Linked DNA regions of Yarrowia lipolytica. The protein of the gene in region 2 interacts with the protein of the main gene of each other region in a biochemical or structural test. Links are inferred from orthologs where the notes say so. Each region holds a gene or a part of one and is shown on either strand. Other genes may lie near its edges. The genes, in order: YALI1_B27015g and YALI1_F00229g.

The links.
Region 1: the proteins of YALI1_F00229g (region 2) and YALI1_B27015g form a complex in vitro, tested with the Saccharomyces cerevisiae proteins (2 studies listed by BioGRID). The link is inferred for Yarrowia lipolytica from reciprocal best matches to the Saccharomyces cerevisiae genes APL5 and APL6.

The regions. Positions count from the first base shown.
Region 1 is NC_090771.1:2,694,602-2,711,339, reverse strand, and holds YALI1_B27015g (uncharacterized protein), read right to left. Parts: upstream 9,829-16,738; coding exon 7,477-9,828; downstream 1-7,476. Other genes in the region: YALI1_B27110g (uncharacterized protein), read right to left, coding at 1-344; YALI1_B27102g (uncharacterized protein), read left to right, coding at 1,141-4,617; YALI1_B27057g (uncharacterized protein), read left to right, coding at 5,619-7,160; YALI1_B27009g (uncharacterized protein), read left to right, coding at 10,425-11,639; YALI1_B26984g (uncharacterized protein), read left to right, coding at 12,937-13,803; YALI1_B26963g (uncharacterized protein), read right to left, coding at 13,957-14,976; YALI1_B26962g (uncharacterized protein), read left to right, coding at 15,146-16,387; YALI1_B26926g (uncharacterized protein), read right to left, coding at 16,570-16,738. UniProt on the Saccharomyces cerevisiae protein: Part of the AP-3 complex, an adaptor-related complex which is not clathrin-associated. The complex is associated with the Golgi region as well as more peripheral structures.
Region 2 is NC_090775.1:19,327-29,976, forward strand, and holds YALI1_F00229g (uncharacterized protein), read left to right. Parts: upstream 1-3,582; coding exon 3,583-3,638; intron 3,639-3,751; coding exon 3,752-6,185; downstream 6,186-10,650. Other genes in the region: YALI1_F00207g (uncharacterized protein), read right to left, coding at 347-1,440, 1,497-1,578; YALI1_F00261g (uncharacterized protein), read left to right, coding at 6,826-8,520; YALI1_F00286g (uncharacterized protein), read right to left, coding at 8,649-9,281; YALI1_F00288g (uncharacterized protein), read left to right, coding at 9,532-9,595, 9,921-10,231. UniProt on the Saccharomyces cerevisiae protein: Part of the AP-3 complex, an adaptor-related complex which is not clathrin-associated. The complex is associated with the Golgi region as well as more peripheral structures.

The DNA.
Region 1 (16,738 bases), on a different chromosome or scaffold from region 2:
GCTTCCTGTTTGGATGAGGCCTCGATCCAGGCCCAAGCCTCGATTCCTGTTCCGCCAGCAAACGCTCCATTGTGTGGGAGAACGCCCCATTCTTCGGCGTCCCAAAATCCCTGGGCAAACCGCAAGTGGATTTCGCGCGCGTCGCTCTGGGTGATGATCTGTGAGAGAATTCGGGGGAACTCGTCGTGATGAGCGACCGGGTGGGTGTTGAAGGGTTCGGACTCAGCCTCGAATTCGAACGAGGCGTGAAGATACTTCTGCGACAGAGGCCGCAGAGAAAGGTTCTCCGAGTATCCAAGCACGCATGCCACCAATGCCAAGCAGAGCAGTATCGACAGTTTCATCGTTGTGTGCTGATGAATCTGACTCTGAGATGGGTATTACGTATTGCATGCATGCGCGTTTACAGTGCTTGTATCATACGTGGTGAGTCTAATGGTGGGATAGAGAGGCGTTATTGAGATGTGAAGTTATCAGTTAACAACTCTTCAGGCAGGAATGATGTTGAGGGATCATTATGACTCTATCAAGTATGTGATATATGTTTAAATCACCCCTATATTCCCAATATGGTACAATATTCTTGAGAATATTTTATTTATTTATTCATATTTTTTTATACATTAAACCCTATAGAATATGAGAAGAAAATATAGACAAGCATGTCAAGTAAATTGTTAGATTACAGCACAAGTACGCACTTGTACTGTGGGTAAAAAAAGTCATCTTTACTTCCTGTGTTAAGATTGTAAAAAGCGAAGCAGCTGTCATTTTTGTGGCAATACCAAGCCTTTTCTCATATAATTGGCTTCCATAATGTACCTCCTACACATATATTTTCCACCAGTTGAGAACATGATTGTTCACCATTCCTTTTTCTATAATCACATAATGCATACTGTCTGTTTTTTCTTTTCTTTCTGCATATACTGTACATTCATTTAATTATAACTTCGTCTGTGAAAGGGCTGTTTATCTTACTCCAACAAATGTCCCAACTGAGGGAAAGTAATGTTATCATGTTTTCAACTAAAAATAGAGACATACACACCTCACTTGGTACATCACCCTACCACATCTACGCGTATTTCTTGATTGAATAAAGAACGTGCACACCAAAATCCCGTTTTGCCCCTCCTTATGTCTACTTGTAGTATCTTCTCAATTCTCCACAAGATGCATCTTGTCGCACTCCCACATTATCTCAGATCAGAGCTTGATTTGTATTTTTATGCATTGCGTTTTCTCACTACTAACACACCCACACACAACAGCATGGACGAAATTAAGCGGCTGCGAGAAGACAGGCAAAAGCCGTTCTTCGAGGATGACGACGCAGTGATGGCAGACGTATCGGAAATGCAGGCTCTTAACGATGATGAGCGTCAAAACCTGCCTCAGGACTCGTATACTGCTCCACAAGAGTTCCTCAACGAGACTGTATCTTTGCAGGCTGTCGATGAGCTGCAAGCTAACGAGTCCAACAAGAGCATTTACAACCGTGCAAACGATTACAAGCGCAAACGTCTGGATCGCCAGGAGGCTGATGACGATGAGAAGGATCTAAGCTACAAGGAGCGACTGGCTTTAAGAGACCTGGAACGAGACGAGAAGCGAGTACAGGAGGCAATCAGAAAGAAGGAGGAGGCAAATGGAACATCCCAGAAGGAACAGGATGAACTTCGGAAGTTCGAACGGGCTCAAACTCCTCCCAGAGTGGGTCCTCGTGTCAGAAAGGGCCGATCAGATAAACCTGTCACTGAAGACAGTGGTGAGAGAGGACGAAAGCGGAAGTCGAGATGGGACGTTCCCGACGAAAAGGAAGCCGAGACGTCTACAACCAGCAAAATAACAGACGAGTTTCTTGCTTCGGTGCTTCCTTCGGAAGGATACATTGTACTTACTCCCCCTGCTTCATACAAGCCATTAATCAAGAGCAAGGTGACAGTCAAGATTGAGGGATACAGCATTCCAGGAGGCAGCACAGAAACTGCGGTCGATAGAGCATTGGCGATCCAGGCAGCCGTTCCTTCGGCTGACGCTATTCCTGGAGTGGGAGATTTGGCGTACTTTAAGGAAAGTGATATGAAGTACTTTGGAGCGCTGATCAAACAGCAGGATGCAGAAGAACAGGGTCTATTGAGTGCTCGTGAAATGAAGGAGCGCCAGGTGATGCGTCTGATTCTAAAAATCAAGAACGGATCTCCTCAGATGCGAAAGCAGGCCATGAGACAGTTGACTGATTCTGCTCGATCTCTGGGTCCCGAGGCCCTTTTTTCGCAAATCATCCCCCTTTTCAGAGAAAGGTCCTTGGAGGATACAGAACGACACTGGCTTGTCAAGGTGGTTGATCGAGTCCTGTTCAAGCTGGGTGATCTGGTAAGACCATACACACCCCGACTATTGTCTGTCATTGAGCCATTACTGATCGATGAGGACTATTTCACACGAGTCGAGGGACGGGAGCTGGTTGCCAACATCTCCAAGGCCGCTGGACTCCCACATATGATATCAACACTCCGACCTAACGTCGGACACGCAGACGAGTTTGTCCGAAACACCACTGCTCGATCGTTTGCCATTGTTGCTAGTGCTCTGGGAGTTCCTGCATTAGTTCCTTTCATTAAAGCCGTCTGCAAGTCAAAAAAGTCATGGGAAGCTCGTCACACAGGAGCAAAGATTGTCCAGCAGATTGCTATTCTCATCGGATGCACAGTGCTGCCATATCTCGGCTCTCTCGTGGATTGTATTGGAGACGGATTGACTGACGACAACCCTAAGGTCCGTCAGATGACCGCGCAGGCTCTTGCTGCTCTTGCCGAAGCTGCCGCCCCTTACGGTATTGAGTCGTTTGAGAACGTATTGGAACCTCTCTGGCTTGGGGTGCGAGAGCAGCGAGGTAAACATCTTGTGGCGTTTCTGAAAGCGATTGGATACATTATTCCTCTGATGAATCCCGACTATGCCGATTATTATACCAAGGAAGTTATGGCTGTCGTTCTTCGAGAGTTCTATTCCCCTGACGAGGAAATGAAGCGAGTGGTTCTGGAAGTGGTCACGCAATGTGCCCGCTCTGAGGGTGTAACCGCTCGATACATTCGTGTCGAGGTTCTTCCCACGTACTTTAAGTGCTTCTGGACCCGTCGAATGGCTTCTGATCGAGTGTGCTACAAGCTTATTCTCTCTACAACTGTGGAACTGGCTAATAAGGTCGGTACTGCTGAAATCGTGGACCGAGTTGCTAACCATCTCAAGGACGAGTCTGACCACTTTAGACGACTTACAATGGAGACTATTGACAAGGTTGTGGCCAATCTCGGAATTGCTGATATCGAGGCCGGCTCGAAACTGGAAACCCGTCTGGTTGACGGTATTCTGACGGCGTTCCAGCTGCAATCACCAGCTGCCAATGCCAACCGAGCCGACTCGATTGTCATGCTACGAGGCTTCGGAACAGTTATCCAAGCTCTTGATACACGAGCCGCACCCTACTTTTCTCAGATCACGTCTTCCGTGCTGTTCAGACTCTCCAACAAGTCCCCTATTGTTCGAAGTCAGGCTGCCGACTTGATTGGCCAGATTGCTGGAGTTATGAAGAACTGTGGAGAAGATGAGGCCCTCAACAAGCTGGGACAAATCCTGTACGAGCAGCTTGGAGAAGAGTATCCTGAGGCTCTGGGTTCTCTGCTTGGAGCCCTCAAGGCCATTGTCGCTGTTGTTGGTCTGGCTTCAATGACTCCCCCCATTCGAGATCTTCTGCCTCGTCTGACGCCTATTCTGCGTAACCGACACGAAAAGGTACAGGAGAACACCATCGATCTGGTTGGTCGAATTGCCGACCGAGGTCCCGAGTATGTGTCCGCTCGAGAATGGATGCGAATCTGTTTCGAGCTCATTGATCTCCTTAAGGCACACAAGAAGACCATTCAAAAGGCAGCAAATAACACATTTGGATATATCGCCAAGGCGATTGGCCCCCAAGATGTATTGGCCACGCTGCTATCTAACCTGCGAGTCCAGGAACGTCAGTCTCGTGTCTGTACAGCTGTGGCGATTGGTATTGTGGCCGAGACTTGTTCTCCGTTCACCGTGCTTCCTGCTCTGATGAACGAGTACCGTGTTCCTGAGATCAACGTCCAGAACGGTGTTCTTAAAGCCATGACCTTCATGTTTGAGTACATTGGAGATATGGCCAAAGACTACATTTACGCTGTGGCTCCCCTGCTGGAAGATGCTCTTACAGACAGAGACCACGTACATCGACAGACGGCAGCCACTGTTGTGCGCCATCTGGCCATCAACTGCGTGGGTCTCGGAGCCGAGGATGCCATGGTGCATTTTCTCAATCTGCTGATTCCCAACATCTATGAGACGTCTCCTCACGTGATCGTGCGTATTTTGGACGCCATTGAGGGCATTCGTCTTTGCCTGGGACCCGGCCTGGTGCTTAATTACATTTGGGCCGGTCTGTTCCATGCTGCCCGGAAGGTCAGGGATCCGTTCTGGAAGGCATACAACTCTGCGTACATCGATAATGTCGATGCCATGACTCCTTACTACCCCGACATGCCAGAGGATGATGAATTTTACCGACACGAGTTGGATTTGTGGGTTTAAGAGACTACAAGTGAATTGTTAGTTCACATTTAGCATAATGTATATTACAGAAAGGGGTTGCCCCCATCACTTAATTGACCATATACAAGTACAGTATGTACATACTGTACTCGTAAGTACGATAGCTAGCTACTGTAATTATCAGTGGCAGCTACAGTGGAGACTGCCATGGATGCAATCACAGTGACTCAGGAACAGATACAGTAGATCGATGCTGTGTTTCTTTTGTAGGAGCAAAAGTGATGGGAGAAAATATACTGTTGCCATGATCGGGTCATCTGACCGCGTTGTCCTTGCGAATACAGAGTTCCGTGGGTTCATGCTGCTTCTCCTGACAAGGAGGCAACAAACTATAGTAGTTGGCTAATCAAGTAATAATATAGCTAGCTACCTGTGTAATCATTAATACTAATCAGTATTTGCACCAAATGACAGCATTGTTGAGAGGTGTCAAATATGCGGCCTAGTCAGAGGTACCCCACAATTCAAAGACGGTATTGTACACCGCGTTGGTGTCACTGTCCGAAACAGGGGCTACTACTGTACAGTATCGTACTATACGTGGGATATGTAACCCGTTGTTCCTGCTGCCTCTTTCCTTTGATGTGACATTACAATACTGTAGCTGCAGTACATACGAAGTAGCCTTTGGTTGAGCCTAGGGTCTGCTAGACGTACAAGCGACCGTTACGAAGAGGCACTATAGTGGCGATTGGAATTGGACGAGTATGACACCATGCCACGACGCCTTTTTTTATAACTTCATTGGAACTCAAACACATGTGAATATTCCTTCAAATGTCTTTCTACTACAAGTACCTCTTACTTTTTTGACGATTATGCACCCCACAAACGTGCCCCACACTAAAATTGATCCATCATCCAAGTAAGGACAACTCTGTTTTAAGTGTCAAAAGGTGGAGGGACACTAAAGGGCTACTTGTAGTGGAAGGTATATAAAAAGTCGTAGATGTCAGCTGGGTTGTAATTGGTCCAATAAAATGATTCTACTCTACGTCCTGGCCTTTCTGGTGTCTTACCTGATTTTCACCCGTCTTCGATATCGCTACCAGAGCTATAAGCTGGCCCAAAAGTGGAAATGTTCACCGGTGAGAGACGTCTCATCGTTTCCTATGGCTTTTCCTGAGTTCTTGTTCTTCTTCAAGTCGGGCAAGAACAATGTCTTGTTAGACGAGTTTGTCAACTTCTTCACCAAACGACAACCAAACCTGACCGTGGGTCTGGTGCTGGCAGGCAATGATGTGACTGTTACACTAGAGCCTGAGAACCTCAAAGCCTTGCTGGCTACACAGTTCAAAGACTTTTGTTTAGGAGTCAGACACAACCAATTGGCCCCCATATTGGGTGACGGCATATTCACTCTTGATGGACAGGGTTGGCAACACTCCCGAGCCATGCTACGGCCACAGTTTGCCCGGGATCAAGTTTCGGACGTTGATATGATCGAACGACATGTCCAGAACCTGGTTCGCAAAATTCCACAGGGTGATTCATTTGACATCCAAGGGCTTTTCTTTAACTTGACGCTCGATACAGCCACAGAGTTTCTCTTTGGTCAGTCTGTGAGCTGCCAGACGGTGGACAATCCAGCTGAAGATGACTCTACTGTGACTGACATGCCCATTCCTATGCGAAAATCATTCCAATCAGATTTCAATCTCGCTCAACACCATGGGGGTTACAGAGTGCGTCTTCAAATGTTTTACTGGCTCTGGAGACCACAGGAGCTGTTTACGGCCAGCAAAAGTGTCCGCAAGTTCGTGGACCATTACGTCAAGAAGGCTCTTGTTGAAAGCGAGAAGGAAAAGCAGGCTGATGACAAGTATGTATTTCTCACAGAGCTGGCTCGTGAGGTCAAATCTCCACAGGTTCTGAGTGACCAGGCCCTAAACATTCTTCTGGCAGGAAGAGACACCACGGCTTCTCTATTGTCTTGGTGCATCTACTTGTTAGCCAGACACCCTGAAACTTGGAACAAGCTGAGAGACGAAATTCTGAGCACTTTTGGTTCTGGCTCGGACCTGTCTCTCATCACTTTTGAGTCTCTAAAGAGATGCGAGTACCTACGATTCGTCATCAATGAAACACTCAGATTGTATCCTTCAGTCCCCGTCAATGTTCGCTACGCAACACGTGACACAACACTACCTAGAGGAGGGGGACCGGACGAGAGCCAACCAATTCTCATCAGAAAGAACTCTGTACTCGTCTACAGTGTGTTCGCGACCCATCGTCTGAAAAAGTTCTGGGGCGAAGATGCAGACGAGTTCCGACCTGAACGATGGGGAGAGGGCATATCACGAGGATGGGAGTACTTGCCGTTCAACGGAGGGCCCAGAATCTGTCTGGGCCAACAATACGCATTGACAGAGACCAGCTATGTACTGACTCGAATCGTGCAGCTGTTCGGCACTCTGGAGAACGCAGACGCCAGTCCAGAACCCCCCATGAAACTACATGCTCTAACCATGTGCCATCTGACCGGAGTCCACGTTAAAATGAGCACAAATAACTTACCGTGAATAAATCGTATGTCTGATTACTTGATTATTAATGTTACGTGCCATGTGAAAGCCCCTCAGACTTGGCGCGTCTTTGTTCCTAATAGTCTACAGTATCCCTCCCTCAACTTTGACAGAAACAAGTGTCGCTGACAGAATATACTTCTTTCCTAACCGACTAAATTTCAGTACATCCGGAACCGGTTATCTATAAAAATGCTACAGTAGCGTCTGAGATCACTACTTGTAGCTGTGGAGCAGATACGGTGTATTGCGTGTGTATTTAAACATCATGATTCATTATAGACAAATGCTATATTTTTTGTTGCCAACTAGACTAGCTGTTGGCGAACGGGTTTTCTTCATGAAGAAGGGACTGAGAAGCGGGGACTGGAGATTGGGAAGCAGGCTGATCGTCGTCAGATGAATCTTCTTCCGAGCTCTCGTCTTCCTCCTCCTCTTCGTCTTCTTCCCCCTCGTCTTCTTCCTCCTCGTCTTCTTCCTCCTCGTCTTTCTCCTCCTCGTCTTCCTCCTCACCATCATCGTCATCACTGTCGCATTCCTCCTCCTCGCTACTGTCTTCGCTCCCAACAGTATCAGCGAAGAACTCATCAAGTGTCTGCTTCTGCAGCTTGGGCTTGGTGGCAGTCATACCATTAGTACCATTGGAAGACATTGACGGCAGTTCCTTGTGACTGATACCTGTAACTACCTTCTCGGTGTCCATGTGAACCACCTCCTCAGGTTCATCTCGTAGACGAGCATCAGGAAGAACAGAGAGATCCTTTTCCCAAGGAGGCAGGGAAACATACCCACTAAGAGGTGTTCCAAGTACCGCAGAAGCAGTGTTAAGCTCCAAACCGCCCTCGGTGTTTGTGCTGTCCACCTTGGGAGCCTGCTTGGGAGCCTGGAGCATTAGGGTAGCCAGTTCAGTAGATGCAGGATTGCTGAGTAACGCTCCTAGACGTCGCACCTTATCTCGGATCTCATATGAAGGATCAAATCGACCACAGTAGAGAGCGTGCGAATACAACTGTCCAACAAACGACCTGGAAAACTCAATCTGTTTTTCTTCAGTGAGTTCTCCTTCAGCTGCCTTGCCAACCTCATTGATTCGGAACAGGTACACCTTGGAAGCCAGATCCATAATCTGGGCTCGAACAGGTGTGTCCTCATATGCAACGTTTTTTAATGCCGAGTAAAGAAGAGCCTCTCCAACTTCGGGGGCGACAGACACGAACTCGGAGACAAGCCAAACCACAGAAGCCTTAGCAGGAGATGTCTCAGCCGATGTGTCAAGCGTAGTATAAATTCTGGCCAGCTTAGTCACCGTGGCGACGTGCTTCTGAGGCTGCTGTTGAATCAACAAACGCACACAGGTAAGACACTCGGACAAAGTGGGTGCTTCAGATCGAATCTGACGAAGCAACCACGTGACCAGAGAGTCGGACTCCTTGTTAGTTCCCCCAGAGGCGCAGGATCCAATGGCCGAGACAGCGGCTGCTTGAACCTCGCGCTCGTAAGAGGTGGAGGTAGCATAATGCTTGAGTTCCGACAACACAAACTGTCGTGGGCCCTTGATTGAAGCCATGATGGCAATTTTTAGCAGAGCCACGGACGCGGTGTCGTCGGGAAAGACCACAAACCGATGAACATGGGTGGAAAATGCGTTGGGTTGGTCTCTCTGAAGAATAATTTGCTTGATCATGGTCAGAGCGACTTCCAAGGTCTCATTCTTGAGCAATCTCACGAGTCCCACCTCGATGGTCTCCTGGTAAACCGGCTGGACTTGTCCAGGGCATAGAGCGTAGACTGCACTGACTGCACTCATGATGAAGACAGGCGACAATGAGTTCTCAATGGCCGGATAAAGAGCCGACAAAAGCAGAGCTGTGTCCGCGTCGACAGAATTGTTGCCCTTTGGTGGCGCAATATTGGTACGGTTGTATCTTACTAGCAGATCAATGACGGAAGCTGCTGCGAACGTGTCGAGCTGGGGGATGATTCTGCAGAGACGCCTGTAGATGGGATGGATGAGGTCGAGGCGGTCGGGGCAGATGAGAAGCATGGACATGATAGCCGACCCGACAACATGAACGTTCTTGTCGGCCAGCAGCTGCTGCAAGAACTCGACCAACTGTGGGAATGTGGAAGGATCCACGTCGTAGCACTTGGCGATAGCTCCTGCGACAGCTCTTCGGACTAATGGCGAAACATCGGTCACACCCTTCTTGATAGCAAAGAGAACAATTCCTGAGATGGCCGGGACCCTCAGGGAGCTAAGAACTCGGACTCCGAGAGATCTGACAGTGGGAGACGAATCAGAGAGCGACTTTTGAATGGTGTTGACGCTCATAAGAGCCAGATCGTGCTCCATGGGAGCGTAACGGATCAGATACACAAACACGAGCTTGCGCATGTCAAGAGACTGGGACGCCGTGTTTCGCATCACGTCCGGAAAGAACTGCTGAGCTTCCTCTCCTCTGCCCTTGGACATGAAACCAATGACCTGGCGCATACCCGCCAATCTGTCACGGTCGCTGCGCGCATTAAGAAGCTTTTTGATTTCCTCCGCTGACAGGGGAGCGTCGTCTACCAGAAGTCGTGATGATGCTGATACTGCAGCTTCAAGAGTCAGCTCTTTGGCTGACTCCAACACCGCTCCGATTTTCGCAAACGGATCGGACATGTTGACGAGGCGGTTATGTAGGTCGTTGTGTCGTCGCAGTTTTGTTGTCGTGGAGAATTGAGAAACCCAAAGCCTAGGTGTCGCTCTTGTCGCCTGGGTGTGATGTCGATATTACTGTGATGATGCAACGGTGGATGCTGTACGGTACGTCTTGAGGTTATTTGCCTGTCTTACAAAATAGCATAGGCCTTAGCTATCGCTAGGAGGGATATTAGTATGGGCGGAGTACATAATGAATTTTGGGAGAAATATCGACATATTGAACGCGAAATGAACTCATATTAATATGATAACAGATGATAGGTGAAATGAATGTGTGAGGGTATGTGTGTGGAAGGATGTGTATGGGTGCTCATATCACCCGGTGTCTATATGACATCCCACATGAACTTTAGGTTCTCACAGTCCCAATCAAGCCTTTTCCATATATCAGCAAGTTTATAAAAGCAGTGCCTGAGCCTCCACAAACACCCCGACAAAGCTCAGCAGAAACCGACACGTTTACCAATAGATATCAACCGACTTGACATACACGACAGGACATTTTTACCTCAACAACTGCTCTCTACTGACATTATTACTACATCTGATCCAACATGCGTCTCATCTCCAAGGGACTGAAAAACAAGCTGGAGTACAAAAAGCTCGCTCTGGATTCCACTGACGACCTGTATGCGCTGACCAACGTGATCCAAAGAGGCGATTTGGTCGAGGCCAAGACACTGCGAGCAGTTCCACAAACCACAGGCGCCTTTGATGACGAGCAGATCCAGGGCAATGCAGGCAAGAAGAAGGTGCTTCGAAAGCTCATTTACATCACTGTTCGTGCCCAGAAGATTGTTTTCGACGGCGAGGAAATCCGAATCACAGGCGTCATTACCGATGCTGGCCACCACGAGTCTCTCAAAACGAAATATCACACGTTGGCTCTTACACCAGGCGATGAGGTGACCGTGATTAAGGAGTTCTGGGATTTCTTTGCGCTCCAGACGCTCGACCAGTACGTGGGAGCAGACACAATGAGCGCTCTTGCTATGGTGTTCAACTCCACTGGCAAGTTCACCATTTACGAGCTGCGTCATAGTGTCACTCGAGTGCTGGTTCAGGGATACAAGGCCATTCCTCGAAAATACGACGGACAGGGCTCGGTCGGAAAGACTCGAGGTAAGCAATACAACGACTTCTTTAACGTGGCCAAGGAAACGCTGCTGCGAACCATTGAAAACAGATGCAAAGCCGACTGGACTATTCCCGTGCTGCTCATCTCCATGCCTTACATGAACAAGCTCTTCTCGGAGTATTTCAAGGCATGGGCTGTGGATAATAAGGTGAAAACAGCCATCCAGCTGCAACAGGGCTTTATCACACTGGAAACTTCGTCCGAAGGCAAGACTGCTATTCGAGAGGCTCTCAAGTCAATCTCCTACAAATCCGCACTCAACAAACTGGCCATTGCTGCTGACGGAAACGAAATGGACCAGTTCCAACGCATGTTCCATACAGACCCAGATCGAGTGTGGTACGGAGAAAAGCACGTGGATTACGCTCTCGAAATGAGCGCTGTTTCTGTGTTGTTCCTGTCGTCCAACTTTGTGCGTGGATTCGATCACGCTAAGAGATCCAGATACGCTGAGGCCACTCAGGCTGTGCAGCAGAACGGAGGCAAGGTCTTTATGTATTCGCATCTGCAGGACTCGGGGCGTCAAATTGACGCCCTGGGAGGTATTGCTGCTATTCTGCGGTTTCCTCTTAACGACGATGCTGTTGAGCTGGAGGACGCCGAGCTCAGTGACTATTCTGACGACGAGTGATAGACATGTATATAGTATTGGGAGATAGATGCATGGGAGATGGATGCCATGACGTTCGAGAATGAATTGAATAAAACATTAATGAGCTCCAAGCTACTTTTATTCTGAAGTAAAATGACAACTAATAGTGGGATCAGTGCAACCTGTGCTTTTGTTCAAGTATCTTTTCTATTTTGTGCCCAACGTGATTAGATCTGAAAAAAACAACAACCGTGTATAGGCTACAGTAGTCGTACGACAGGAAATGGAGATCCTTTTATCTCACCAATTATCTCACCTTTAACCATCGATGTTGTATTACTGTACGTTACAAGATTACTGTTTCATGACCCAATGACGCCATAACGATGCATGTAGCTAATCAGAGCTAGGTTGCCTTGGTGGGGATAGTGTGGAACTACAAGTAGACAGATGTCACGATGATCAAGGTGGCCATCAGGACCAAGCTACGTAAACAGACACTTGCAAGAAAGTGTATCTGACACCGAGTAGAGACACAATTCAGCTAAACCATCCTCGTCTCACCTCATCTTACATCCCCTGTATTCTTGTATCACGTTAAAATATGTTCCGCTAGCAAGGTTCATTTTTCCGCTTAGCGAGCGCAAACCTAATTGGCAGTAACCACTGGTGAGTGCCGTATAGAGCGACATCAAATTGCTGTATTTAGTCCACGAGGGGTGTTGAAATTGGTTTTTTTTTTATTCCACGGTCGGTAAATTGTTGGGCCTCAATTTCACTACTCTAGATCCATTCTGATGAATTTGACAGCTGACAGTTTTCTTATATCCACGCGCCAGCTTTTAGCAGTAGCCTGTGGATATATCGTTGTCTGCGTTGTACCCTCAAGCTTCATATTGCAGCTTTGGGGAGCAGCACTGAAGTGCACTTGTCTCATTTCTGATTCAAATTCCCCCACCGCCTCTTTTGAGCATATTTGAGCGTTTGAGCTCCACCTTCCTCTCCGTTGAGGTGTTTCGTGGTGTTGAGATTACACCTTCATGCCCCACATTTATGATTTCGACGGCAAGGCTGTGTTAATAAAAGGATCAACGAGATGCCCTCAGTAACCACACAAAAACAGATGAGCAGCTTGATTTAGAATGTCGCACGACTGATGGCATGTGGATAGATCTCCATTAATCGGTTTGCATCCGCATTTGTTCCACTACAAATAGACCGACTCGGATCCGACCTAAAAGCTCCGGATCAACTTTGAACCTAGACGAGTGTGGGGTGCATATAAGCCAGGCGACCTTCCTCAGACGTGCACCCAGCAATACCAACAGTACACAAAATGCTTTCGCCAAACTCGTGGGATACACACGTTCATCTATTTGACCCAATTAATTATCCGTTTGCCGGAAGACGAACATACACTACCGACCAGGCACTTCTACCTGGTCTGGAGGCCCATTCCAGATATCTGTGTGGAGGCATGATTGGTAACAATGTACTGGTCCAGCCCTCGCCTTATGGAACAGACAATTCGCTTATTATTGACACGCTCAGAGGTCACTCCGATCGGCAAAACGGATACAAATTGAGAGGAGTGGTGGTAATTGATCCTGATAACACACCCGTGGAGCTGCTGCAAGAGTGGTGGGAACTGGGTATCAGAGGTGTCAGAGTCAATGTCGTGTCTACCGGTCAATTGGACGTTGAATATGTCTCTAAGACCCTAGTCAAGACAGCCGCTCTTGTCGGCCCTCTCGGCTACTTCATCCAGGCCTATATTCCACCAAACTACTGGGACAGTCTGTTTGATGTCATTGGGAACCTACCAGTAACGGTAATTGCAGACCATTTGGGTGGGATGAAGAGCCCCGGAGACACTGGATTCGAGTCCCTCATCAAGCTGACTGCTAAAAATGTGCTCATTCGAGTCTCTGGATTCTACAGATTGTCTGAACAGGGGCCTGGATACAGCGACTTAGAAGAAGTGGTTCAGTTCTTCGCCTCGGAGAGCCCCAACAAGCTAATTTGGGCTTCTGATTGGCCCCACACTGGCGGAGGAAAACAGAGACTGCTGCTCAATCCTGGAGATGTGGAGCCTTTCAGAGTTATTGATAATCATGCCATTCTGCAAAATCTCAGATCCTGGGTAGATGAGCGAACCTGGACTAATATGATGGAAACTCTTCCTGATAGGATTTACAATTGATGAGATGGAAACATAAATAGCAGAAACGAATTAGGCACACACAGATTAAAGGCCAGAGACAATAGTCTCCAAAATGGCTACTGTATATTTCATGGTACACTATATATCCTCTTACATAGCTACATACAGGTACGAGTATGTACTGTCTTTTAGCTAACTCCTGTCAGGACCACACTTTATAGCTAGTTCAAGCAAGATCTCAGACCCAAAAAGAACCACAATGAGAAGAATACCTACCAGTGGATAAAAAGCCACACAGGCTATACAGAGGGCTAACTTAAGCGAAAGGACAAACGAGTTCATCCGAACAAGAGTCTCGTAGACTGCCGGGCGATGGTTCTGTAACGCGTTCTTGACCATCTTCTCAATATTTGACTGCATTTGCGGACTTTCGCTTTCCTTCTTCTTGTCGTCCTTCTTATCCTTGGCATACTTCTTTTCCTCATTCTTATCATTTCCAGCATCGTCCTTCAGCTCCATTATCTCCGCTTTCATTCCCTGGGGGACCTGTGCGTACTTCACTGGTGGTACAGGGAATCCCTCTGTCCGTATGTATCGCGGTTCAATCACCTGAGACATTGGTCGCAGTAACGACTGGTTGGGGTATCCCGATATGGCGTCTGGCGTCTGGCTGATCTGTCGTGGCTGAAGATACGCAGGATGCATATGTTGCCTCAGCCCTGGTGGCATCTGGTATGGTATCTGGTATGGTATCTGGTGTGCTTGATGTATGTGAGGTTGCTGTTGTCTGACATGTTCATGCCAACGAGCAGAGTCCTGAAGCTGTCTCCGGGGAACACTGTACTTATCTCCCTCTCTGTCCCTGTCTCTGTCCCGTTCTCGCGTCCTCTCATAATGCTGTCTTCGTTCATACTCTTCTCTCTGATGGTCTCTGTATTTTCTGCCACGTGGAGGAGAAGTCAAAGCGTCTGTAGTCGTGGGCGGTTCGTCGGTCAAAATCTCGTCCATGGGTGTGGTGATGCGGTCTATGAGAGGCCTCTTCTCATTGCTGGTCCTAGAAAACCACTTGCGGAAGCCCATGCGCCGCTTGGTCTGGGGTTCGCAGAAACGAACGGTGTGTGAGGTATCGTGAAGCAGTGGTTTGTCTGTGTCGGTATCACTGTCGAGCTCGGAGAAGAGGCAATCTGAGCTGTTCTGTGTGGCGTGGAGCATGGGCACACAAGTGTACGCACGTTGCTTGTGTTGGGACTAAACTACTTGTAGTGTACCAAGTAACCTTAATACAGCTAAACAAAAATAATATCTGTTTTCATGCATCTCGGGCTGCATACGGCTGGCATCAAGTTTCAAGTGGCATACACTGTATGACATAACTACAACCATGTCATTTGCAGAAATGAGTATCGACGAAGCGCCCGACGACGAGCCTCTGGTGACCGGATTCAGTGGCTTCACGTTATCTGACCAGGATGTCCGGAACCGTCAGTTACAATACCACCGACCCTTGCAGCAACAACAACCGTTTGACGATCTGACCTCGGAGTTCTCCAATCTGCGAACTAGCGAGACCCAAGACCCCGACGAAATGGACATTGACGACCCCACGGATCTTCTTGACCTTCAATCTGTCAACCTATCGCGCATGAACCCCGAGTTCCTTCCGCCTGTGTCTACACCCATCAAGGCAGGTAAGAGAAGAACTTCCTCGGTGTCAGTTGCTGCTGCGGCACCCAACTCGCCATGGAAGATCTCATCTGTGTTCAATCCCACTGAACTCGGTGCCCAGTTTGCTGTCAAGGAGATTGAGAAGAATGAAGACGTGGATATGAGCATGGTCCTCTACTCCCCTGTCAATGAAGGTAAACCCCTTGATCAGGCAGACGATATCGATCCCGATCTTCGACCAGACGCTAAACACGGCGACTTCTCTCCTCAATCTGCCCAGGCAGCAGTACACACTCCAGCACCAACTCTTCACACTTCCGAGGCTCAAAGCCCGGGGCAGGATCAGTCTGCAGAATACCACCTTCATCTGCCCAACCCAACCCTTGGATGGATGATTCAAAACCCCAACCTGCCGTACATCATTACCTCGTATCTACAGCTCGCGTTCAACGGCATCATGCTGGCCGTCATGGCCTACGTGGTCTACTTATTTATTTCCTCGGTCCGACAGGACGTTGGTTTCAAGTTCTCAGCTCATTCGGGCGAGATCCTTATGGCAAAAAGCAAGTGTGCAAAGCTGTACCTGCTTAACGAATGTGCAGCCAACTCCCGCCGTCCAGCTCTGGAGACTCTCTGTGACCAATGGGAACTGTGCATGAACAGAGACGAACATGCCGTTAACCGAGCCCGTCTCGGAGCCGAAACACTGGCCGAAATCATCACGGGGTTCATTGACAGATTCTCATACAAGGCCTTGGGGCTCATTTCACTGCTTTTCCTGGGGTCCATGTTTGTGTCCAATTTTGCATTTGGCTTCTTCAGAGCAAAAGCATACTATAATGGAGAAGTGGAGAAACAGAATGGCCTCTGGGATAAAGCAAGATACACTTGGGGAGGGAGGAAAGAAGATGAACCGAAACGACTCGTCTTTGGTCAACAGAATGTTCTCCAAAACTAGCTTCTCTGATACCATTGCTACAAGTAGCTATAGTAACAGTATGTACATTACAGTGGGCCGAGCCACCTTATTGTTCTCACAGGTAATTCAACACGAAACACACCCAGTCTTTCTGTAACAAACACTTTTTTTATATTTTCTGAATATCTTACAGCATCATCAAAAAGTTATGCATACATACATTATTTCTTGCCCTTCTTCTTATTCTTCTTCTTGGACTTGGACTTTGAGGCGGTTGTGCTCTTGGTCTCCTCACCCTCCTTGCTGTCACCCTCCTCCTCGTCATCTTCATCATCGTCATCGGCCTCCTCATCGGCCTCCTCGGCATTACCGTTTTCCTCGTCAATCTTG
Region 2 (10,650 bases):
CTCTATCGACGCACGAAGGCGGCAAACACAGACCGGTGCAAGCTTGCGCAGAGACACAGGCTCACACACACGAGAAGAACACCCTAGAAACGAGGGTTTTCTGGACCAGCCTAGAAGGCTTGAAACGTAACAGTATTCTCAGCGATTGCGTAAGCGTCTGTTGACAGGCATCATACACGTAACTACAAGTAGCTGCTGCTGATAGTCAAGATCTACAGCAATAAGAAGGCTAATGAGATGAACTACAAGTACAAGTAGTTACCAAAGACTGTAAACTTATAGCATCAATCTACAGTAGCTACAGCGAGCACACATTCTATTTGTCATGGTGGTATTACTAAATATCTTACTGGGGAGCGAGACAGCCGTTGGAGTTGGCGGATCTCAGGCCTCCGACGGAAACGTGATACTGGTGCTTGTCGGGAGTGGTGCTACCAGTGGCAACATTGAACTCAGGCTGGATGGTGACTGAGTTGATGCCGTGTTCGTGGAAAATCTTCTTGATGTCATTAGACAGAGTCATGAACTCAGAAGGGTCGGAGGCCACGCCGACATGCAGAGTGGCGACGAAGGTGTCTTCCTTGAGGATCCAGATGTGCAGGTCGTGCAGCTCCTCGACACCGTCGAGAGCCACAATTTCGTTCTTGACGTCCTCCGCGTTGATGTTCTGGGGAACGGCTTGAAGCAGAATGGAAGAGGTGGATCGACAGAGAGGCAGAGCCGAGGAGAAGATGATGACAGTGATAACGAGAGAGATGACGGGATCAGCGTAGTACTTCCATGAGTAGTCGGTCTTCCAGATGAAGAAGGCGGTGGCAATGACACCAATGTTTCCAAGAGCATCGCCCATAACGTGCAGGAAGACGCCCTGCATGTTGAGAGAGACCTTCTTCTTCTGCTCATTCTTCTTCTTGGCGTGGAAGTGTGTAGCATGTTCGGACGAGTCAATGTTGGAGATGGATCGTCGGTGGGAAGTGGGGTGCTGGAGCAGAGAGGTCTGCTCGGTGGGCGCGGTGAACTGAGAGGCAAGCACAGTGTCGACAGCCTCCTCCTCGTCGTGGGCGTGGTCGTGATCGTGATCGTGGTCATGTCCGTGGCTGTGTCCGGCGTGGCCGTGCTCGTGGAACAGCAGTAGTCCGACAATGTTGGAACACAGACCGGCGGTACCGACAACGGCGATGAGCTTGGGGTTGGTGATGATTTGGGGCTCGAAAAGACGTTGGATGGCCTCCAGCAGAATGGTCAGACACAGAGCCAGCAGGAAGACGGCGTTGGCCAGAGCTCCGAGAATCTCGGCTCGCTGCCAGCCGTAGGTGTACTTGGAGTCGGCTCCTCGAGACTTGGCTACTCGAACGGCCCAGAGGGCGATGATCAGCGAGAAGACGTCGTTAAGCATGTGGAACGAGTCGGCCACAAGGGCGAGTGAATGAACGGCATAACCTGTGTTAGAGCTGGGGATGGTAGATCTGGTTTTGTATCGTTTCGTCAGTACTCACCAACAATGGCTTCAAGCAGGAAGAAGCAAGTGTCGATAATCAGCAACGCAATCATGCGGATTTCCCGCGACGTGAGCGACATGTTGTTGAATAGTGTGTGATATGAGAACGGACTGGTCGGGGAGAAAATTCAGTTGGTCGAGGCCTTCTTATTATGAGTGTTTCTCTCTTTCTCTTTTTTTAATTTTTTTTTAGGTGTGTGCGTGTGTCCGTGTCCTGGGTGTTGACTGTATCAAAATAGCCAAAAGCATATAGCCGTACAATTAGCTCGGGGTCTTTGTATCAAGGTCGTGTCTGAAGCGCAAATTTATGCACATAAAAGTCTATGGAACTTGAGCGTTGGAGAATATTGACAGATGAAGGGAACCATCTCTGGGAGACCTCACGCACGTGTATACACATCACACAATAACTACAGACTGGCCCGGTAGCTCCAACTACATTCCGTGGACTACCCCGCTGACTTGGCAAGCCCACCTACACACAGAGTTCTGTGCTAGATCCCCGGAGGTGCGTCAGCATGAAAAGGCGGATAAGGGGAACCATGTTCGTTATTAAGGGGCGGCTCTTGTTAGGCTTGTTTCTGGACATGCGTGCGTTCATCGCAATGGTGTCGCAAGGGTGTCCAAAGGGTGTCGTAAGGGAGTCTCAGGTCTGGTGTTGAACCACGGAGTAAGGTGGTGTTGATGCTGAGTCATTTGACACCACACAACTATTTCACAATCGTCACAAGTCGCGGTGTCTGGGGTCAAGCTTTGGGCTCTTGCAAGGTCTGTCCTTTCTTTCTCGTACTGCGATCCACGCTGCAAGGTCGCATGGACATTTAGGTTGACAATGGGAGCTGGGGCTGCCAAAACCACGCTAAACGATCGGTTCTGGTAAACATGCTCTTTCGGGCTCGATAGCAGCGCTCTTCTGGGGTGCTATTGATACAGGTCACCGGTCCTGGCAGTCGCATATGGCCGCCCAATCAACACGGCGCTCACAAAAGTTTCGACTCTATTTCCTATGTGCGTCTCGGGAAAGCATAAAGGCAAGGCAAGAAATGTGTGTCACGTTTAGCTGGAGAACGGCGGCAGTGACGACAAGACACATCATTGGAGAGCAGTAGCTCCAGAGTGCATTGCGGCGAAGAAAGGAAGTAGAGAAATAAACTACAAACCAAAAGATAATCGCATCTGATAACTCCAATCTGGTGTGACGTGATGAGTTCTTTCTTGGCTTTGGAGCAACAAGTGGACATGGTCTTGTTGTCAAGTAGGGAACACATGCCGATAACTCTTGTTCAACAGACATTCTACTATAGACACAAGCTCGGGAAAAAGTCGGAACAAAGTCGGGACAAGCTCGAGTCAAATTTTAGCATCTGATAAATTAAACCGTGGACGATAATCAGTGAAAATCTTGCACTTGTGTGATCACACGAGCAGAACGACGAAGAAGCCAAGGTTAAACTGCTCCTAGCTGCACCTCTAGTCCTAATCAATTCGCTGGTCTTCGGAAGCCGTTGCTGGTCCATCCGCACGGCCTACTGTTGCTCCAAGCTTGTTGCTTTATCCGAATGGGGTGCCTTGTTCCTTTCAGTCATGCATCATCTGCTCCAGGAGATGGATGAAACTGTAATAAAGACGTCAACGGGAACCGTTTTGGATGATGGGGCCCATCAACGACAGCTACAGAGGACTTGTAGCAACTCCAACAGCCCTCAGTCATGTCCCGGTCACTCGAGAAAAAGAAAAGCCTCCTGAATGCCATAAGCTTAGCCTCGGACTAAAAAAACTAACCCGGAGTTAGTTTTAACATGTTTCTACAGCTCTTGGCGAGGCTCTAGAGAGGCAATTGTGGCCCTGACATGCCTCTGGCAAATTTCGGAGTCTGTCGGAGTCCGAATCCCGCATATCTCGCTCGGACGAATTAAATTTCTCGATAACACGCTAAGCGTCTGCATGTGGTTGAGCACCACAACCCGAACTCTAAATGCCCACCATCCATCCATCATTCATCACAGACACCGACGATCACGTGACACCCGGGGGATGACAAGTAAGCTTCGACAGTAGACGCACACCACACAAACGAAACAACCATGTCGTTGACGACCAGAGATGATGTACGAAATCGGCTGCGGCCTTTTGGAGTCATGTGAGTATGCAGAATGCAGCAGTCGTGTGATTGAAGAGGTCATGGGGTTCCCTCTTCACCATAACACCAGTGAGCCATTAACCAACCACAACACCACAGCCACACTAACACAGATTCGAATCAACATTAACTGATCTCATTAAGGGTATTCGAGCCGCCAAAGATCTGCCCGCCAAAGAGCGGTTCCTCAAACAGGCAGTGTCCGACTGCCACCAGGAGGCCCGAAACCAGGATCTGACCGTCAAGACACTCGCCATCCTCAAACTGGCATATCTGGAGATGCTGGGTTACGACATGTCGTGGGCCTCCTTCCACGTCCTGGAGGTCATGAGCTCGCCAAAGTTCCAACAAAAACGAGTGGGCTACCTCGCTGCCATCCAGTCCTACCGTGACGACGACGATGTGTTGATGCTTGCGACCAACCTCCTTAAACGTGATCTGACGTCAAGCTCGCCGGTCGAGGTGTCCGTGTCTCTATCCGCAATCGCCACCATTGTCACCCCTTCACTCGCTCAGGACGTGCACCCCGAAATTGTCAAAATGCTGTCCCATTCGAAACCCTACATCCGAAAGAAGGCAGTGCTGGCAATGTATAAGATCTTCCTCCAGTACCCAGAGGCACTGCGGACGTCGTTCTCTCGTCTCAGAGATCGACTCGATGATTCAGACCCCTCAGTTGTTTCTGCCACAGTCAACGTGATCTGTGAGCTCGCCAAGAAGCACTCAAAGAACTACGTGCCCCTGGCCCCACAACTCTACCAGCTGCTGACCACGTCCTCCAATAACTGGATGATGATTAAGATCCTCAAGCTGTTCTCGTCGTTGGCACCCATTGAGCCTCGGCTTAAACCTAAGCTGTTGCCTCAGATCATGACCCTGATCCAGTCCACCTCGGCACTCTCCCTCCAGTACGAGTGCATCAACTGCATTGTGAGCGGAGGCATGCTAGGAGAAGACGACCACGATGTGGCTGGTGTCTGTGTCGAGAAGCTGTCGTCTTTTGTGAACCAAGGCGACCAGAATCTCAAGTACGTGGGTCTTTTAGCGCTTGGGAAGATCGTCAAGGTCCATCCCATTCTTGTTGGAAAGCTGCAGGGTGTCATTCTGGAATGCCTCAAGGAAAACGCCGATTCCACGATCCGAGAACGAGCACTGGAGCTTGCCAACGATCTTGCATCGGAACACAATGTTGAAACCATTGTGAACCTGCTGCTTTCCCAGCAACTTACCCACGCGTCCATTTCATACATTCTGGACATGTGCTGCAGAGACACATACTCACTCATTTCCGACTTTGAGTGGTTCTTGAATGTGCTCAAGAAGCTCGCACTGGTCGATTTCCCTCTCGAAGACCCTGCTCGGATCGGAGAAACGCTCCGAGATCTGTGCATGCGAGTCCCCGATATGCGAGAGGAGATTACCGGAGTTTGCTACGAAATATTCACAGACGGAGGTGTGTATCTCCGGAACCCCGGCGTCCTGCCTCCCGTTCTCTTCTGTCTCAGCGAGTACCCCATGCATCGACAAAAGGACATTTTGGACTTTTGCCTCAACTCATACTCGCACGTCAGAGAGAACAGTGGCAGCAGCAACAATGCTGTCGATCTGGCCGTTTGTGTATGCATCGTGAAGGTGTTTGGCAAGTTCTGCGAGGGCATCATCTGGTCATCTCCCAACGAGCTTTATGTTAAAAAGACTGTGACCAATGTGATCAAGTTTTTGTCGTCATATCTTGCGTCGCCGGACTACGAGCTGCAGGACTTTGCCACCCAGTTTTCCGAGCTCTTCAAGGTCATTTCCGAGTCTCTGGAGGAGGAGGGTGTGCCTGTGCTTCTTACCGAGGTGCTGCCGTCTTTCTTTGCATATGAACTGAATCCTGTGGCACCAGACACTCAGAAGAGAATTCCATTCTTAGATCTGGAGCTCCCTCCCGAGCTTGAGCAGACCCTGGAAGTGGAATTCTCTGACATTGAGGACGAGGAGGTTTATGTTGAGGAGGAGTTTACCCCCCAATTTGCTTCTACGGTCAGTGGAGTGCAGAAGGAGAGTCTACTGGATGCTCGTAAGGAGCGACTAGAGAAGCAGAAGGATGATCCGTTCTACATTTCTCGAGACACTACGCCCAATCCTCTCAAGGACGAGCAGGTGGACGTCGATTCCATCCCCGTGGTGGACCTGCAGATCAACGAGACATCGATAAAGACTCCGCCCATTCAGACCAAGCCGAAGCGCAAGATTAAGATCATCAAGGACGAGCAGATTGATGGCGAGATTGTGCCCAAGTTGGAGGTGACCAAGAACGTCAAGAAGAACGTTTTGATTCGGCCCAACCAGCTCGACCAGTTTGAGCTGGAGGACGACAAGGACTCGCCCGAGGTTGCGCAGATGAAGCAGGAGCTCAAGGACAAGAAAGATAAGAAGGACAAGAAGGACAAGAGGGACAAAAAGGACAAGGAAAAGAAGCCCAAGAGCAAGGCCAAGAAGGAGGGGGCTGATGGCGAGGTCAAGGAGAAGAAGCGCAAGAAGCGGGTTGCCGTCATCGAGTAGATCATAGATGTATTGTAATTAACCATACACTTGTACTGTAGCTCAAGCATGGCGGTACAGTCTCGTATCGTATCGTAGCAAGCTGGTTGTGCTCGTTCTAAAACTCTAATGCATGTATCACGTGTACTAATTTAGATAGGGTTCCTATCAAGTTTTCTGTGGCGTTGAACAAGCATGCTGTCAGTAAGATTAGGACAATCAGTAAAGGGAAGGTGCAAGTGCGAGAACCTTGGGAGGAAGGAGAAGAGCACCGGCCCAAAATAATTGGGACGTAACGTAAACCAGCGGGGAAAAAAAAGAGAGACCCTGGTGTTTGGAGTGCGTGTTTGTGTCACTTGAGACGCTCGCGTGTAGCATTTTGCCGCGGCAGACCCGCGCATCTGACTGGTCATTTCCACTCAACAATGGGCAGCCCCACACATACGTTGCAGGTGATACTATAGCCTGTACTGTATCATCTGTCCCGTAACCACAGCAGCAGCGCTCAATACTCCGCACTCTATACATTTAAGCTTCTGGGGTTCCTGATAAAGCCTTCGCCACCTAGACTTCAGTGTGTCTTCTCTCTCACCTCTCAGACAACAACAAACACACACCACACCGACACCGACACGCTCTACATATTTTAAGTCTCCTTACAATGTCTCCCACCACGGGCGAAGCTGACAAGACCACACCTTCTACCGTTCCCGCCAGCTCTGCGATTTCGCAGACCAAGGGACGATGTTCCTTCACGCTCTTTTCCAGACGAAACGACTGGACTCGCAGCGGCGAAGTGGACTGTGTCTCTTTCGAGCCTGATTCTATGAAACCATTCGACGTGGAGCTCACCGACGCGCAGAAGCAGACCCTGGGGTCACCCAGAGGCCACAAAAAAAACATCCATGTCCCCAAGGCCTTCAACCTCGTGTCTCGCAACCACGCCAGCTTTGTAGCCACGGATAAACAGCTGTTTCTGTTTGAGAGCAAGGCAAAGTACGGCACCAAGCTGGACGGCCAGAAGTTGCAGCTCAACACCTTTTATCCCCTGAAGGAAGGCTCGCAAGTGACCCTGTCCCCTGACTGCAGGGCACACGGCACCGCCTTTGATTTTGAGGTTGAGAGCATCTCCTTTGGAAAAGCTCCTGCCACTCCTTCTGTGACCTTTTCTTCCTCGAGCATTGTTTACAAATACGACAGCGAGGTTTCCCAGGGCACCAGCATGGACTCTTCCCCCAACGATGCCATCGTTATTGACATTGATTCCGACGATGAAGATACTGGCGAACAATCCGACATTGAAGTCGTTGGTTGTGCCGTTTCGTCGGGTGACAACGGGGAAGGGCAAGTTGGAGATGCTCAGCGATGCCACTGGTCCGAAGAAGACGAAGAGGATCGCAACGAGGACGATGACGAAGAAGACGAAGAAGATGATGAAGACGAAGAAGACGAAGAAGACGAAGAAGACGATGAAGACGATGAAGAGGAAGAAGAGGACGAGGACGACTCTCAAAACAGAAACCAACGTTGGCTCGCGGCTTCTCATGATTCCGATGATGACAAGGATCATGATGTTGAGCCGGCCACTCTTGTTGAGCTTCTCAGATCGGCTCCCACTGCTCGTGCGCCTGATGAAAATCCCCATCAGATTTTTTTCAAACCTAGAAGAAGCAACCAGGACACCCTTTTTGGCTACGACACCTTGCCAGCTCACGAGCCAGGATCGTTCCAGACACCTGAGAATCAGTTCGATAACTCAGAGGAAGCCTTCCTATTTGAGGAGGATGAGAGAGCTGAATCTTTGCTAAAGGTACATGAAGCTCCTGCTGAAAGCTCCATTGTGAAACCTGCAGATACCTCCGAGGTCTCCGTTGGTCAGGAGTCAACCAAGATACCTGTTACAAAGTCCAACGAGGTTGCCATGGATATGGAGTCCACCAAGGTCTCTGTCAAGCCGGTATCTACCACCGTCTCAGTCGAGGCTACAACCCAAACTCCCCTTATCGAGAAGTCCTCCATCATCGATATGTCAACCGTCCAAGAGCCCGCCGAGAGCCCAGCCTTCCAGGACGCTTCTACCAACCTTCCCACCGCCAAGGAGACAATCATTCACGAGCCTGCTGCCACAGCCCCGGAGCCTCTTCCCACAGCGGCTTTCCAGGAGCTGGCATCCATTCCTCGAGTTCGTAAGCGAACCCGGGAGGAGATGGTGAAGGAAGAGGAGGATCTGGATGTACCTCTGCCTAAGAAGTCCACCGAAGGCCGACGAATTGGGCAGATCTTCACCGCCGTTGCAGCTGGTATGCTTGTGGGAAGTATCGGCACCGTGACTGCTCTGGCTAGCATGTCCACTTAGTGTCACCGTTTTATTTGCTAACTGAGTAATTACGCGTAAAGAATTATTTATATGTATGACGTATGCTATGTGTATCTATGTGTATGCTATAATATATGCTAATAGGTGGGTTATGAAAGACATTCTCTCTAATCCAGCAGTCCCTGCTCGTTGAGATGGTTAATGAATGCAAGTAGAGTTTCGTTCTCCTTCATAATGTCGGTCCGGAAGAGCTTCTTGTACAGCGGCATCTTTTTGGGTGGCTGGTACCGTCTGTAGACCTTTGAAGCGTGGTCTGCCGGAGGTGCAGGTGCTCCACCTGAGCTTGCAGAGCCCGTTGCAGTGGCCCCTGATTTGTCGTGTGAGAATCTGCACTTGTCTCCGAATCTGCATTTTCCTGTTTTCATGAAGAAAGAACATTTTTTGGGGCCAGATTCTTTGTTGCTGTTGTTTGCGGTTGGCAGTTTGTCCATATCGCCTGGGTTTGTCTTCTGTTTCTTAGTTTGTTGTTCCCGTTCCTTTTCCTGCTTCTCCTGCACCCGTTTGCGCGTGGGCCAGTTTTGGCGTCGTTCTGCTCTCCATTTCTCAATGTCCTCTGGTGTGATAAGCAGCACTGATGTTCCCTGGATAGGGACAGGGCCATTAGCCGCCAGCTTTTTAGCTAGCAGCGACTCCTCGTCTTCTTCGTCTTCCTCGCGGTGTTTAGACGTGAATGTGGGTGTGGGGGCTGTGCCGCTGTTGCTTGGTGGCGGAGGCGGAGGCGGTGCGTAGAAATAGGACATGACTCGATGTTGTGTGGTCTTGTTTTCCTATTGTCAAAATAAATTTTGAAAGTCGATGTGGATTATTTGAGGGTGCATGTGAGCTGCAACATTTCTGAACTATGCTCTGACTCAGCGTTTTTCCACTCTAGGTTTTGGCGACCCCCAACCGCTAGCCCCTCACACTAATTATTGACTCTTAGGTTTCCGCGCGAATACTTCCCTCTCCTCAACACCAAAAACAGACACAGACACACAATCATACACAGCCATGTCCAACGGTAGCATCATCAGCAGAACGACCAACTACATCTTCTCCAAGGACTTTGTGAAATGTGAGTATTCCGGTAGCATTGTGTTGATTGGCGGAGCGGTGGACATTTTTCGGACACACACAGACAGGAGTGAACTGTTGAGCCATGTTGGTCTAACGATCGATTCGTTGCAGATTGTCTGTTGCGACAATAAGATGCCAGGTGTCGGTATTGCTCCACAAACACGAAAGACCAACAATACACAAGCGACAAGAAACCAATGTACCCCATGTTGTCAATCTTGTCAATCACCCCGGACGTTGATTTGTTCACATCAAGGACTTACAACGGAGATAGCGTATCTATTTGCTCCAAGTCGATCTCTTTTTGTTCAACACTAACACAGACATTTGCTCCACCCACTTTTGGGGACCCGTTTCCAACTTTGGAATCCCCGTGGCTGCGGTGATGGATCTTAAGAAGGACCCCACCAAAATCTCCGGCCCCATGACCGGCTCTCTGATTGTCTACTCTCTGGTTTTCATGAAGTACGCCACCGCCGTGACCCCCTGGAACCCTCTGCTGTTCGGCTGCCACTTTGTCAATGAGTGTGCTCAGCTCGGCCAGGGCGCTCGATACGTCAACTACTGGTACTTGGGCGGACGAGATAAGGCTCTCAAGGACGGAACCGCTGCTCCTCTCCCCGAGAAACAGTAGATAGATACACGTACGTAGAAGGAAGATTAAAAGTGATTGATTGATTGATAAGTCTGTTTGGCCATTGGCGAGAAGCGTAGTCGTGTTTAGGACAGAGACAACGGTTAGAGTGAGACATATTGAGCTTAGCGTATTTTGAATGTTCCATACAAGAATGGCCCAGATATCGTATCGGCGTTAAAGATAAATCAGACTGGCGGAGTTCAGTATGGAAAGCGATTGAAGAGAGGGGGCGCGGCGGGTTCTATGTACTCGTATTCTACTGGAAATGCTTGTCCAATGCTATGGGGCGCATATTTCATTGAGGCACTTCCCAATAGCCGAGATAGGTGTGGGGGTCAGGTACGCACGCGGGCGGAGTTGATGGGGTTGTTTAGGGCTTCATGAATGTGAGAGCAGTGACGTAATGGACGTTGAAT